Ovis aries: one gene and its partner. The protein of the gene in region 2 purifies or fractionates together with the protein of the main gene of each other region. This does not show direct contact. Links are inferred from orthologs where the notes say so. Each region holds a gene or a part of one and is shown on either strand. Other genes may lie near its edges.

Region 1 (2,530 bases), on a different chromosome or scaffold from region 2:
CAACAAACGACCATAAGTAGATCCATCATGTTGAAGGATTTTAATGACATTTAGGATATTCCTGCCACAATAAACATGCAATCAGTGCATTCCCTACATGGCTCTATTACGGCAATGAATCAAATTCTAGAAATACTATAAGTGAACTTACTTAATAAAGGAGATCATACAACATAAACAATCCATGCCTGCTGTAGATGCATGCAGCTTTTCATTTTTGTTATGAAGCAGCACCAGGATAGTAAAACTGCTTGGTTACTCAATCAGATTTCACCCTGTCACGAATTGGTTACCCCTGTATCATTTTCCTAAAAGCTTTTGGATGTAAATAACTAATATCAACATCAGGAGCTTTATAACCATTTATGACTCAGAGCTGTATACATCTAGGTTTGAGATGAACAAATACAGCATTAAGAAATCACACAGGAATGACACTGATGCATGTACACAGTTAGATTCCCACAGAGGCATGGTTCAGTCACTCATATCCATGTCTTCTTCATGATGATCATCCCCATTCACTTTAGATTCTCTTAGTGAATCACCAGTTCCCTTTTCCACAGAACATTCTTTTGTTTTAGGAGAACCTGGTTCTGCTGGTTTCTTCTCCTCCTTTTTCTCCTTCTCGCTGTCATACCCCTGTTCCTCTTCATCGTAGTCCCGTGTAACCTGCTTTGCCAAGGAGAATAAGAAAAGTAAACGTCTTCACAGAAAAATTACTTCTTTAAAGTACCAACATCAACTAAAACACCAGAATATATTAGTTTGTAAACATACTTTTACATCTTTATCACTCTCTGATTTTCTTTCCCGTTCCTTTTCCTTATCTTTACTTTTCTTCTTCTTGCTTGTGGATCGCTCTCTTTCATCTCTGCTTCTTTCTTTGTCTTTATCTTTCTTCTTCTCCTTTTTATGTCTAGGATGACAGTAAAATGCTCACAAGATGCTTGAAACAAAGTGCTCAAGAATTTTTGCCATTATTTAAACAGCAATAAGTTTAAATTTGTTTTAGATGGTAAGCTTGATGTTAAGTTCACTGCTATAAGGAGATTACAGGTCTAAAATGCCTAATCATAAACAGTGTTTATTTTAACAATCTCAAGTCATGAAGAGAATGTATCAGCACATTCTTAAGTATTTTAATTCCTGAGAAGGAAGAAAAATCCTAGGACAGTTTCTGAAAAACAGGATAGATCTAATAAAAGATTAATACTTACCTTCTAGGGGATGGTGAACGAGACAATTTTCTTTTGGGAGACCTAGGCTTTTTAGGAGATCTTGTACCACTTCTGCTTCTTCGTCGTCGTCTCTCTCTAGAAGAACAAATGTGCAAACTAGACTTTAAAATACAGTGTTATTCAAAAAATGCAGGCACATCATACCAGAAATGTCTACAATGGAACTCCAATAGAAACAGAAAACTCCATTTTCAAATATTGTTTGGAGCTGAAGAAGCAAATGGGTAATAAAAGTCGGCAACTTTTTGGGGGTAAACTATGTGCCTTTCCTTTAATGCCCTTAGGAAAGCCCTAATTTCTAGCAATTCTTAAAGACATGATGTCATCAAAACATCAGAAATGTTAAGCTCAAGGAAAAACTGATCAACAAAGGTGCTAATTCAAGTCTGAAGTAAATTATTATTCAAAGAACCAGCTTTAGATTCAAAGGACAGAACATGTAAAGGATTAATGTGTTGTGTTATGGAAGGCAGTTGCTAATGAAATTCAAAACTACTTCTAAATCATCAGGTAAAACAGAGAACCGAGAACTAGAGTTAATGGTGGTGGTGGTTTAGTTGCCAAGTTATGTCTGACTCTTTTGCAACCCCAAGGACTGTAAACCCACCAGGCTCCTCTATCCATGGGATTTCCCAGGCAAGAATACTGATGTGGGTTGCCATTTCCTTCTCCAGGGGATCTCCCGACCCAGGGATCAAACACACCTCTCCTGAACTGCAGGCTGATTCTTTACCACTGAGCCATCAGGAAACGGGGATCAAACTGACTTCCTGTTGTCCAGCAAATCATGCCCCTAATCCAATCCCTATTTTGAGCAATTAGCTTTTTAAGATATACCTCCTTCTCTTTAAATTGACTTTTTAAAAACTCCTGCTTCTACAATACAAACAGATGGAAAGCTTTGCTGTGTTCTTGGACTGGAAGTACCAATACTGTTAAAATGACTACACCACCCAAGGTAATCTAAAGATTCAATGCAATCCATATCAAAATACCAATGGCACTTCCTGCAGAATTAGAACAATTTTAAAATTTGTATAGAAACAAAAACAACCTTGAATAGCCAAAACAATCTTGACAGAAAGAACCAAGAGCTGGAGGAATCACATTCCCTGGCTTCAGACTATATTACAAAGCTATAGTAATCAAAACAGTACGGTACAGGCACAAAAACAGACACATCAATCAATGAAACAGAGTAAGAGTCCAGAAATAAAGGCACACACTTATGGTCAGGAGGCTAGAATATACAATGGAGAAAAGACAGCCTCTTCAATAAGTGGTGCTAG
Region 2 (4,300 bases):
GAAACGATCCCTAATCGATTGCAATTTACGCCAAAGTGCAGCCTAATAACAAGATAAAAGGATTCACAGAGTAAATTGGCAAGGCAACAAATCTACTTTGCAGTCAAAAGCTGAGCATAGGAGCAGGCAACAAGGAACACAGTCAGCAGTGTGCATCTACCAAGCCAGGAACACTTGGGCAGGGTCCATTTCCTCAGGGGATCCTGCCCCCACAGGAGACACGTGAAGAACTGTCGGCTCAGCTTGTCTTTTTCTTAAGCAATGGTGTGGGTGGTGGGGTCCTGTTCTTTGACAGGTAGTACAATGCCCGTTTCTCACCAGTTTTGCGGTAAGCCCTCTACAGTCCTTTAGAGACACTACAGGAGCACATTGGCAGGCAGAGCAAACCCTAAGTGACAGGATTCGACCTCGCTTCACTGCTGGAATCTTTGCAGGATACATTGGATAGATATTATGACTGGAAGCAAAAACCATTTCAAGTGACTGGTACCAGTATCAAAACATTTAATAACCAAACAAATGAAACGTCCCCCATGAACATTTAAAAAGTAGTAAAGTGAGACAAAACATAACAGAAATGTAACCTGTAGAATCTAGGTGGTGGTTCTGTGACTATTTGGTGCACTAAATTTTTTCAGCTTTTCTGTATGCTCCCATTTTTGGAAATGGATGCATTCACATGTAAGGGTTTAGCTAAGTTCCAGAGCTGCAGCATGTACTCAGTAAAAGGTCATCAGTAAACACTACTCAAGAACAAACTATTAATTCATTATGTGCTCTGTTTCCTGGGGCTGTTGCCTTTAAGTATTTCCAGTGAGGTTTTGCGCAATTTGCTTGAGTTGTAGAAGCAAAGATCTCGGGATGTTAGCCTCAACTACTCCTATCTCACCTTCCTGTAAGTAACCTGGACACAGCTCACCAATCGGAATCCTGTTTCCATGTGCGCAGTGCTGCCAAAATGCTGGATAAATTTCTGACTCAAGAAAGAGTGCCCAGCTGTGGACAAACAAATAAGAGTGCACTGTTCTTTTCCAGGGCTATAAAGTCTTTTTAGACATTATGTCTTAAAATGAGAGGGCATACACACAAAAATAAGCCAAAATTAAAAAAGAAAAAAGGCACCACAGACACTCAGTAAGGTGCCTGTAACACTAAGCAACATTGTAGCGGGCTTGCTTGGACAAATAGTGAGTATAATTCAGTGCTTACGAGTCTGAAGTTCCCCTGCTTGGGGTCTGATTCAAAGCTTTGTTGTGTCTTTGTATCAATCCCTTAATCATTCCGAGCCTCAATTTCTCATCAGCATTAAGGAGAGACAGACAGTTCCTACACTTCATAGCTGTCAAGAATATAAACAAAAGTAACCGATAAAAGAGTCTTGGGGACCTAGTTAAGGCTCAACAGATGTTAGCTAATATTAGGAGAAAGGCTTTGGAGGCTTTTCTGAGGCAAACTCTTGGCTCTTAAGTCACACAGCCTCTGAATGATCAGCAGGGGTCCCTGGACTGCCCCCATTACGATCACCAAGAGTAGCACTGTCCAATAGAAAGAGAGCCAGCTACAAGAGTACTCTAAAATTTTCTTGGAGCAACGTTCCAAAAAAGCATTAGTTAACAGATGAAGTTAACTTTGAGTAATGTATTTATCTGACACACTACACCCCACACATCATCTTTTCACCAATCAGCATACAAAATCATTAATAAAATATCCATGCTTCCCCATGCTAAGCGTGTTAAACACATCAATTTGAACTAGGTACATTTCAAGTACTCAGTAGCCACGTGTGGCCAGAGGCTACCTTATTACACAGCTGACCTAGAATACATATTCCAGGGCCCCACCCCAGTCCTAAAGATCTGCTCTTTGTAGTTTGTGAAAACAAGCACCAGCGTTTATTCTTAAAACTCAATTAAGACCAGAGTAAAGGAAGGCTTTTCTGGGTGTGGCCAGAGGGCTAGAAAGCAAAGGTTGATTATGTTTACACAAGTGCAGGTAACAGGACCGTGGTTACCTCCCCCATCCTCTGGAAAGGTGCGCGTCCAACAGCCAAAAATAGGAGAGAACAATTAGTCATATCTCGCGTACATGGCGTTTCAGCTCACATCTTCGGAGCACCTTCTCCATTTACAAGTACATTTCAGGCACAATTCATGAGAGATTGGAAAAGGCCACGCCTCTGCTCCGTCGATTTAACCTTTCCGTATCCTCTCTTTTGGGGTTACCGTCAAACTGGGCTCCAAGACATTAGGGGCCGTATCCCCAAGGGCTAGCACCGGGAACGACACACAGGAACCCCGCAGACGTTCGTGGAGTCGATGTTTGAAATTAATGGCTTCAAAGGGAGGGTCAGTCGGTCACCCAGGGGCTCCCAAAACGCATCTCGTACCCACCGGCCCCGGCCCCGGCCCCGCACGCGACCTCAGCACCCCGCGTCCGCGTTCACTCACAACTCCCCAGTCCAGGAGCCGGGCCGCGGGCGCTTCCAGGGCAGGGCCCGGCGTTGCGGGCCTGGGTTTCCAGCCCGGTGAGAGGGCCCGGACGGCGGAGGCCGAGTTCCCGGCCGCTCCGAATCCCGCGGGCCTCACTGGTCCCGCTGCAGAGCCGAGGAAACGAGGGCGCCCTTCCGCCCGCCGCGGCCCCGACCACTTCCGGGCCGCAGCTTCGGCGCCTCCCACTCAGCCCGCCCCGGGCCACATTCTTTCTTCTCAAACCCGGAGCGACGCCACAGGCCCCACCGTCACCACCACGTGGCCAAGGAGCAGGCCGGCTCCACGATGCGCCCCGCCGAACATGGCGGGCGGGTCCCAAAGCTCGGATGGGGTCGGATTCCCGGTACTTACATCTTCCCGCCGCCGCGACCTCCTCCCGCTCTTCTCAGCCTCAGAGGGCGGCGCGGCTCTGGCGTCAGGATTAGGGAGCGGGAAGGAGCGGTCGTCCGGCGCGCAGCGATGACGTCGAGCCCCTCGGCCAATGGGCGCGAGCGAGAGTGTTAAAGGGCCAAGGCCTGTTTAGGAAGAGACGCGTCGGGGCGCTTACTCTGGAGGGTCGACCGGGGCTCCCCCGGGCGGGCTGCACGCCTCGTGGGGCCATCAAGCTGGCAGCTCTCTGGGGCTGCGAGGGCTACTTCGTGAGAGCAGTTTGCTGGCTGGCGCGGAGAGGGTTAAGGCGGCCGCGGGCCCGCCCCTCTCCGTGCGCATGCGCACCGGGCGGGCTGCGGGCCTGGTGGCGTCCCAGGTCGCTGGGCTCCCGACCCGGCTGCTACGTGGAGGGTCCCGGGCGGCCCGGCGGCGGGGTTGGAGAAAGGGTGCACAGGTGCTGCACGCTCTGGCGGCTTGCCGTGGGCACCCGTAGGGCGGTGGTGGCTTCGCGAGCAGGGCAGTTGCGGGGATGGGTTCGTGCAGTTACCGCTCATGGCGTGAGGGGTGATGCTGCAGGCGCAGATTCTGTGCCGGCGGAATTGTACCAGGAGGACAAGGCAGCGGGTAGTGCAGCCAGAACGAGCGGGCTGCAGAAGGCAGGGTGGAAGACAGTGTGCAGAAGGGAACGCGCCTCCGAGGCGCTGACCCTGCCGCTGAGGCCTGCAGTAGAAGGGCATGTCCGGCAGAAGGAACAAATGGTGCGAAGGCTCCTTGGAAGAAACCGGGGCTAGGAAGGTGGAGTCTAGCGTTTGGAGGAACAGAGAACCTGTGCAACATACGGCGCCAAGGCTTCATCCTGCACTGTCAGAGCCTTCTGGCAAAGGCAGGAAGCTGAGAGTTAGAGGCCCAGGACCAGGCAGGAGGCTGTCGGAGTAAAACCCGGCGCTGAGGGGGCCAGGGCTTGCGGATGTGTTTACCGCTGTGTCCCTCCCCTCTCCGAGCAGCGCCTGGCAGGCAGTCAACGTTTCGTGACTGTTAGTAGGGGGAGCGGAGAAGGCAATGGCACCCCACTCCAGTACTCTTGCCTGGAAAATCCCATGGACGGAGGAGCCTGGTGGGCCGCAGTCCATGGGGTCGCTAAGAGTCAGACACGACTGAGCGACTTCACTTTCACTTTTCTCTTTCATGCATTGGAGAAGGAAATGGCAACCCACTCCAGTGTTCTTGCCTGGAGAATCCCAGGGACGGGGGAGCCTGGTGGGCTGCCGTCTATGGGGCTGCACAGAATCGCACATGACTGAAGCGACTTAGCAGCAGCAGCAATGGGGGGAGAGAAGGTGCGCTCCCACTCTTGATGGGCATGTGAACAGGTAGGTCCCACAAGGAAGAGAAAGGAACAGATTCAAGGCCCTCGTGGGGGAAGGAACCAGTGTAGCTTG

The links. Proteins that work in one complex are often made in the same cells at the same time.
Region 1: the proteins of RNPS1 (region 2) and SRSF11 purify together in Homo sapiens (co-immunoprecipitation; 4 studies listed by BioGRID and IntAct, with this or other methods). This does not show direct contact. The link is inferred for Ovis aries from reciprocal best matches to the Homo sapiens genes RNPS1 and SRSF11.

The regions. Positions count from the first base shown.
Region 1 is NC_056054.1:46,060,687-46,063,216, reverse strand, and holds part of SRSF11 (serine/arginine-rich splicing factor 11), read right to left. Parts: intron 1,338-2,530; coding exon 1,221-1,337; intron 920-1,220; coding exon 781-919; intron 676-780; coding exon 478-675; 3' UTR 1-477. UniProt on the Homo sapiens protein: May function in pre-mRNA splicing.
Region 2 is NC_056077.1:2,304,535-2,308,834, forward strand, and holds the start of RNPS1 (RNA-binding protein with serine-rich domain 1), read right to left. Parts: upstream 2,904-4,300; 5' UTR 2,846-2,903; coding exon of another isoform or gene 2,844-2,845; exon of another isoform or gene 2,451-2,843; intron 43-2,450; 5' UTR 1-42. UniProt on the Homo sapiens protein: Part of pre- and post-splicing multiprotein mRNP complexes. Auxiliary component of the splicing-dependent multiprotein exon junction complex (EJC) deposited at splice junction on mRNAs.